2 linked regions of the Caenorhabditis elegans genome follow. The protein of the gene in region 2 interacts with the protein of the main gene of each other region in a pairwise test. Each region holds a gene or a part of one and is shown on either strand. Other genes may lie near its edges.

Region 1 (3,826 bases), 1.8 Mb from region 2:
AACTCTGGACAAGTAATCCTTACGAGCATCACGTGGAAGACTTCGATGCACTGCCGAAAGCATATGAAGATTTGAGATGATCTCGTCGTTCATGTTGAGGGTAGAAAGTTGTCCAAACTCAAAAAACGAATCAATTCGATAAAATCCAAAGAAACGACTGTATTCGTGACGAGACCTGCGCGAACTTTTTTCGGTTGCGCCTTTAAAGAGACCGTCCCAAAATAAATCACTATTTATTTTATCTTATTTTCATATTCTCAATGCAATAGCAATTCGTAGTAAAAAAATGCAATAGCAATTCGTAGTAAAAAAAAACGTAGTAAAATACAAAATCGCTGTATTCATGCGTAAAATTAGATAAAAATTGGTTTTATTCATGAGTGCTTCAGTATTGTTATTTTATAAAACCGCGTTTAACATTTTCCTGTTTCTTGTAGTTTAAGATATCACAATTTCATGCAACATGTTCTTCTGATAGAACCACAAAACAAAACAATTTCGAATCTCGGATTACAGACAAATCTATCGCCGGATATATTTTTTATTTTGGCATTTTAGACAGACCTCGGCGCTCCCAGAGTTGCAGTTAGTTCTGTACTGCCAATCCTCAATAATCCATAATAATCCAAAAAAGTGAATGTTGTCTTATCACAACATTTGGGACTAGCGAGCGCAAAAAAAAAACACGCAGAACAAGGTCAGCTGTTAAGAGAATCGGCACAAACTGTTAATTATTTATTGTTTCTCAAATTCTAGTCAACACAATACATTTTATTTTCTTGAAATTATCGGGTTTCCTTCCAATCGAACTCGGAACCTCAGGTTCTCCATATTTGGGTTGGTTTTTTGTAGATTATCAATCCATCGAATCGCTGTTGCATTATCATCTTTATACATAGCACCCATTGCGAAAATCGTTTCGTGGTCTTGTTCGTGGATCGATCTGAAAATTAAAATTTTATATCAAATCTAAAATTTGAACTGTAAACCTACCTTTTAGCTTCTCCTCTTTGCTTCTGCCAGTCCGCGTACCAATTTGTATAATCTTCGTCCATATCTTCGTTTTTGAACTCGTTTAAAGGTTCCAGCTTCGTATTTCCAGTTAATGTGATAAATGGAATAACTCTGTCTTGTAGATAGACTTTTGCAGCATCCACGAAGACTTCATCACCTTTTCGCAATTCAGAAATTAATATCTGTTGCATTGGGCTCTGTGACGTGGCTAGCCATTTTTGTTGTGGATCTGATGAATCTGACAGTTTTAGAAGCGAAATAGAGGACGCAGCGTCTCGGCTCATCATTTTCAGCGCGATTCCGGCTAACTCGGAGGGTGATAGAGACTTCCCTTCCACGTGGCGCCTGTCCAGATATTTATTCGAATGTTTCAGCTTTGGCATCCAATAGAGCATACGCTTCACCTTTTTCGTTGCAAAATTCCACTCTCCGAATGCGTTGACCACGATATCATGGATCTCCTTATCCGGTTGAACACCTCAACTATTTTTGATAATTTATGAATAGTAAACGACTTTGTACTTACCATGCCACTCCATTTCATCTAGAACCTTCACTGCACAATTTTGTTGTTGAGGGTAATGCAGGAAAACTTTTTGGAAAACAGTTTGTGGGATCATCTTTCCTTTTGGAAAAACTTCAAGGAGTCCTTTATAAGTATCGATATCCTTATGAACCCCATATTCTTTGACATATTTTAGAGCTGTGTTGATAAATTCGACATGCGTTCGACCTCGTTTTTCCTTGAACGTGGCTGAAAACATAGATTAATCGTTGAAACTAGACAGATATCCAAACCTATCGCTGCCATGAATGCATCTTTATCTCTTTTCTCCGGTTCTATAGCTTCGAATTGCTTTTCAACATGTACTAAACTCGTCTCTTGATTCGCTGCAGCAAAGCATCGTATTTGATTGCTGATAACCCGTCGTGAAACATGTGCAAGAGCCATTAAAGTCTGAATATGTACAAATAAATTAATATTATAACTTTATAGTTAAAATAAAACATTTAAAATCACATTTCTATATCTTTTTAACAAAAAAATTGCTTAAAAATCTAAGGAGTAAGTGCGCTCCACCGCTCCCCGTAAATCGACGGCGAGTGTATGAAGGATACGGTAATAGAACACGCAACAAAACTAGCACTGCCGCATACACTTTTGTGCGTTGAAATTCATTTTGGGTTTTCCTGATCCTATTTTTTAGCTTTTTTCCGCTTTTCTTTTTCTGATTTTTACAAAAATTTAACAGTTTTTTCATAGTTTTTAAATATTGCAATATGCACTCATATTTTTTCGGTAATTCCCATCTACCTTTCCATTTTAAAAGAAAATTGTAACGTTATCCTAAAATTGTTTTTCGCTATTATATCAGATTGTTCATTCCCCATTCCTTGCATCATATTTTTGTTTTTCAGGGTTAAAACATGCCAACCAAGGCTCTTGGAGAGACTCTTAATGAGTACGTCGTCGTCGGACGCAAAATCCCAACAGAGAAGGAGCCAGTGACTCCAATCTGGAAGATGCAAATCTTCGCCACCAACCACGTCATCGCCAAGTCTCGTTTCTGGTACTTCGTCTCTATGCTCCGTCGTGTGAAGAAGGCCAACGGAGAGATCCTTTCGATCAAGCAGGTTTGTGGAAAATAATAATAATAACCCATTTTACAATAAAATTTTCAGGTGTTCGAGAAGAACCCAGGAACCGTCAAGAACTACGGAGTCTGGCTCAAGTACGATTCCCGTACCGGACACCACAACATGTACCGTGAGTACCGTGACACCACCGTTGCCGGAGCCGTCACCCAGTGCTACCGTGACATGGGAGCTCGTCATCGTGCCCAAGCTGACCGCATCCACATCCTCAAGGTCCAAACCGTCAAGGCCGAAGACACCAAGCGTGCCGGAATCAAGATGTTCCACGACGCCAAGATCAGATTCCCACTCCCACATCGCGTCACCAAGAGAAAGAACCTCAGCGTCTTCACAACCGCTCGCCAAAACACCCACTTCGCCTAAGTTGCGGATTATTGTTATTTGTTACAATAAATTGTTGCAAACAAATTTTTTTCTTAATTTTTCATTTTAAATTTGTGTGGTTTGAATCCTGTTTGTTCAGCTTGTTATTTGTTTACTGTTTTTATCTCGTGCGCAGCACTTGTTGATGTTATTAGATGATCATTGCAATGATCCATAAGGCATCGGACCGCCCAGCTGACTTGTGTGACTGGTAAATTTTGTCAATATTTTCAAATTTGTTCTTTTGCAATATAGATATCTGCTCTTCTATATTCAGTTCTTACGCTACTAGATCTGTAACTACATTCCTTAAAGTTCAATATCACTATTTCGATAAGGTAAATTAATTCTTAATAATTGAGATAAGTTGATAAAAATCTGGATAACTGTAGATTTTGTAAGTTGTAAGCGTTAGAAATGCGGTAAATCTCGTAGAAACTTTATTTTTTGTATTTTAAGGGCAAAACCTTTCAGATCATAGATAAAAAGTTCAACAGCGTCATTTTAGTATGTCCTCGCTGAATGATATTTCACCCAGACTCCCGAGAGCGACCGCCCGATTGTTCTATGGCCTTTCTGTGTCTCTGCGTCTCCTCGCCGCCCGAGAGATGGCACAACCCCCGTTTCTTTCTCGCTATTGCATCACGGGCGGTTCCCCAAGTGCTGCTGTGGCGGTTTCTTCCTGCTAGACTCTTTTAGTATATATTTCACTAATTTCTGTATTTTAAGGGTTCAACATGTCCGATATCCCAGCTGGAGATTACGAAAAGGGAAAGAAGGTGTACAAGCAGAG
Region 2 (4,831 bases):
TCCACGAAGCCATTGTGCACGTTTTTCGACTGAGTTCCGGTGTACGAGCATATGCAAAGCATGCGTCATGTAGGCATCACGCTCTTCCACAAAGATTTGGGATAGTTGTGGGAAATCATCAGCCATCTCGGCGAGAAGTTGCTCCAGAAGGTCACGTTGCTTGCATCGTTCCACCTATAATTTTGGAATATTTTTGGAAAAGGTTGAATAATTAAATACCTCTTCTGCAGTTATCTTCTCACGATGTGAAAATGCAACGTGGAAGAAGAAGCGAATTTTTTGCCAGATGGAGAGAGAAGCCAGTGCACGTTGAAGTGTAACTTGAATAGGACGATCACCGAGAACTACACGACAATTCTGAAATAGTTACTTTGTAAATAAAACTTTTTAAATACTCAAACCTCAGTTGCAACTGCTGCACGATGAGCAGCACGGAATTCTCCTCCGGGAGCCATGGAAAGTTCACGTGTTACATGCGCTGACATTGACAGGAGAAGAACGTGCAGAATTCCTTGAATCGCGCCGTTCTTAAAAAAGTTGAAAATATTACAACATTACAACAACAAAAATATGAGAACTCACTTGTTTCATGGTCTGAATAATTTTTTGAGAGTTGAGATCTTTCGCTTCGCTCAAAAGCCGAGCCTCATCCATCGATATGATTGAAATTCGTGATGGACACAGCTCAAGCATGACAAAATCAGGTTGCACAGCACGAATTGTGTTGGATACGTCTTCCTGCGACTCTTTTGAAAAGTGAGCTGTACCGATGAGATAAATGGTGGAGTCGAGAATCGCTTTCTTCCATTCTTCATCAGAATCGCTCAGCACGGGGTTGCGTGGAGGAATCGCCAGATTTGTAGGCCATTTGAGCACTGTTACTGTAATTATAGAATATAGATATCAGTGTTACATCGAACTGGAGTTTTAAGAAACCTGTATTGGCATTTGGGACGAAGTCATCTGCTCTTTTCCTTCCGAAATGGTACCCTCCACAAACAGGATTGTTCACCACTGCACCATCTTCTGTTGCTTCAGGAGCTTGTTCCAGCTCATAATCCAACTCGGCATCATCTCCAACATGCTCATCAAAATTTGAAGTCGAATCTGCGAGTGATATGATGGACTGCTCGGCTGTCTCACTTGCACCACCAACAACTGAAACTAAAAAAATATTAAATATTTTAAAAATAATTATCTTTCCAAACAACTTCAAGCGATGAAAAAAAACTTACGTCCTTTTTTCGAATTGATTGTCAGAGAACGCATCCGGAATAGATCCTGAACATGGAGATTGTTAATAATTTTTACAAATGTAATATTTCAGCATACCTCTTCAGTCAATTGATCTTCCGATGGTGGTGGCACGTCATTAGGGTCTGGAAACTCAGTTCCATCTGGATTCAAGTTTGACGATGACTCTGACATCTGAAAACCTTATTTTGGATATAACTTGAAATTATAACATGTTTTATTTCATACAATCGCGTACAAAGCGGAGCTTACAAAGCTGAAAAACAATTAAAATGAATCCAAATCACTCCAGGTTTCCATTTTAAGTTACAAGAAAAAAAAACAAAAAAGACCAGCGAAGCGCGTTTGCATTGTGTCTCCGTCTCCATAATTTATGTTGTGACTCGGTTAAAACCGCGCCGCACTCGACATTTTGCAACCATGGCACGATTTCTTCTTTCGTAAATCCCCCGCAATTATTTTCAGTAGTTTTTCAGCTTTATTTCTCAGATTATGTCCCTTTTTCTTCTCTTTCGTTGCTGAAAATCTTTTATGAACAACTGTGGTCACGCGATTTAAAAAGAAAACAGAAATTTCTAGGCTGATTATGTTCTTTTATTTCGTTTTAGGACTAAAGTAGGCTCAAAATAATTTAATAATTATAGATGACTACGGGCAATTTACAAGTTGCAATTTATGGATTCACAGCTCGAAGCAGAGCTTTTGAGCCAGCCGGAATATGCTATGAAGTGAGTTTACTATCACCTATGTCCGCAAATATTTCTTAACTGACATTTTCAGACTCGCCTTATTCGAGATAAACTCACACTGGGCCACTGTACGCTTCCAATCTATAAAAACTCTCCTGTTGCAAAGCCTGTTACGGAACAGCAAAGAAAAAAGTCGTCTGAAGAGCCAGCTGAATTGAGAAAAGATCTTTTTGATGCTGATAATGAAAAATATGAAAAGTACTTGATGAAGCTGGATCCAAATGACTGCAAAAATCAGGATCACTACAAAGTTTTAGGATTGTCGAAGCTCAGATGGCAAGCTACATCTGACGAAATTCGTTTCTGTTGTAAGTTAAAATGAAGTGAGAATTTTTTGAAGAGAATTATTTCAGATCGTCAAAAGGTTTTGAAGCATCACCCGGACAAGAAGAAGCATCGTGGAATTGTTATGGAGAAGGAAGAATACTTTACTTGTATCACAAAAGCTTATGAACAAGTTGGAATGTCTGACGTCAAACGTCAAGCTTTCGATTCGGTCGATCATAAATTCAACGATATTATTCCAAATGAGAAATCAATCAACCATAATAACTTTTATAACGAACTTGCTCCAGTTTTCCAATTAAACTCCAGATGGTCCAATATCAAGCCAGTGCCAGAACTTGGTAAATCAGATGCGACCCGGGAGGATGTCGAGAATTTCTACGATTTTTGGTTTAACTTCCAGTCATGGCGCGAGTTCTCGTATTTGGACGAAGAAGACAAGGAAAGAGGAGAAGATCGGTACGAAAGACGAGAGATGGAGAAACAGAATAAGGCAGAAAGAGAAAGACGGCGGAAAGAAGAGGCGAAGAGAATTAGAAAGTTGGTTGATATAGCTTATGCTAAGGATCCTAGAATTATCAAGTTCAAGAAGGAACAGCAAGCGGTAAGTCTATAAACTTTGCCTAAACTTTGCCGGATTTTCAATTTTAAATTTTAGAAAAAAGATAAAGCAAAGGAAGATAAGCAAAGAGCCATCCGTGAAAAGCAAGAAGCTATCGACCGTGAGAAGCGTGAAAAGGAAGAAGCCGAAGCTAAGCAGAAAGAGGAAGCTGACAGAAAAGCAAAGGAAGAAAGAGTGAGCACAATACACCAGAATATTGTCGATTTTTAAATACTAACTATTATTTTCAGGAGAGAGAAAAGAAAGAGCGTGATATTGCCAAGAAAGCTATGTCTCAGCAGCGTAAGCGTCTGAAGAAACTCGCTGATGAAGCTGGCCACTGGACGGAGAATCCTCGCGATAAGCTCACTGAAATGGAAAGAATTGAGCGGATTTGCATTGGGTTCACTGTTGATCAACTCAGAGAGCTGTGCGAGAAGGTCGAATCACTTTCAATTGCTTCTGAAATTCAAACTGCGCTAACAGATGCTGAAATTCTGAAGAAAGAAGCTGCTGGAGCAAAGGTCACAATCACTGAGGATAAGAACAAAGAAAATGAAAAGCAAGCCGACAAGGAGACATGGACTAGTGAAGAGATTCAATTATTGGTTAAGGTAAGACATAAACGATTGGAAATCATTAATTAATTTTCATATTTTTAAAGGCTTCAAACACATTCCCACCTGGAACCGTGGAGAGATGGGTTCAAATTGCCGATTACATTAACGAGCATCGCAAGGATTCTACGGGTTTACCACCAAAAACTGAAAAACAGGTTATCAAGCAATGCAAAGCTGTTCAAACGATGAACGTCAAGCTACCATCAACTACTCAAAATCAGCTAGGAACTGCGCTACCAGATGAGGATGTCTGGTCAGCAACCGAACAGAAAACTTTAGAGGACGCTATCAAGAAGCATAAGTCAAGTGATCCCGAGCGGTGGGAAAAGATCTCAACAGAAGTTGGCACAAAGTCCAAAAAAGCCTGCATTCGTCGTTTCAAGTATCTCGTTCAAATGGTTAAAAATAAGAAATGATCTTCTAGTCCAAGTAATATCTTCTCTAAATCTTCCTCATCCCTTCATATTATTTCTTGTTTCTCCTCCATAACTCTTGTTTCCGTTCCCATCACATTTTAGCTCGTTATATTGTTTTTTCTTCATTTATTCATTTATTCTTGAAAGCCTTAATCATTCTTGACTCTTGACCAACTCAAATTCAGTAGTACTATGTACTTTTTTTTTTGTTTCTGTCATCAAACTTTTTCTGCAGTGCTCAATATTCATGTCTCAGTTATGAACATTAGATGAACGGTGCGTCCCTATCAATTTGTCATGTTCATTTATTCATTCATTTTCACAATAAGTACAAATTTCAATAGTGATGGTGACGGTGGTGATGATAACCGTCCATGTAGATAACTTCAGGTTGAGTATAGATGATTGGAGTAGCAGTTGGATACACGATTGGTTGAACACTTGGATATATGGGTTGAACCATTGGTTGCATAATTTGCTGAACAACCGGAACAATCTGTGGTTGGGGAACAATCATTGGAGGCGGTGGTTGAGCAACAACGATCGGAGTTGGAGCAACAGGCATTTGCATTACACCGATTTCAGTACCTAGAATTATTAAGATTGGAAATCAAAAAACAAAAAAAAATCCCCAGAATATTAAGATAAAAACCAACCTCCTCCGTTATGATGTTTGAAGTTTTCGAAATGAATTTTTCCAACTCGAAGATCTCCTCGAACAGTCATTGCAACGATTCGTTTTGGGCATTTATGATGATGATAATGTCCGATGTGATGTCCGTCCACGTGGATCTGGAATTAAATTGATTGTTTTTACGAGAATATTGTTTGAATAAAAAAAAACTATCTGTGTTCAATAATCTGATATTCTAAACTCAAATAATTAGAGAAATTAGGTTTTAACAT

What was found.
Region 1: the proteins of dnj-11 (region 2) and Y17G9B.5 interact in a two-hybrid assay, tested with the Caenorhabditis elegans proteins (one large-scale study listed by BioGRID).

The regions. Positions count from the first base shown.
Region 1 is NC_003282.8:4,748,386-4,752,211, reverse strand, and holds Y17G9B.5 (Evolutionarily conserved signaling intermediate in Toll pathway, mitochondrial), read right to left. Parts: upstream 1,973-3,826; 5' UTR 1,967-1,972; coding exon 1,813-1,966; intron 1,769-1,812; coding exon 1,541-1,768; intron 1,493-1,540; coding exon 994-1,492; intron 944-993; coding exon 772-943; 3' UTR 721-771; downstream 1-720. Other genes in the region: Y17G9B.4 (Peptidyl-prolyl cis-trans isomerase), read right to left, coding at 1-93; rpl-18A (Large ribosomal subunit protein eL20), read left to right, coding at 2,443-2,649, 2,698-3,033; cyc-2.1 (Cytochrome c 2.1), read left to right, coding at 3,771-3,826.
Region 2 is NC_003282.8:6,583,973-6,588,803, forward strand, and holds dnj-11 (DnaJ homolog subfamily C member 2), read left to right. Parts: upstream 1-1,898; coding exon 1,899-1,982; intron 1,983-2,034; coding exon 2,035-2,311; intron 2,312-2,356; coding exon 2,357-2,892; intron 2,893-2,946; coding exon 2,947-3,084; intron 3,085-3,140; coding exon 3,141-3,503; intron 3,504-3,553; coding exon 3,554-3,925; 3' UTR 3,926-4,214; downstream 4,215-4,831. Other genes in the region: F38A5.2 (TraB domain-containing protein), read right to left, coding at 1-174, 220-357, 402-527, 583-881, 937-1,164, 1,236-1,281, 1,333-1,428; lec-11 (Galectin), read right to left, coding at 4,263-4,513, 4,582-4,717.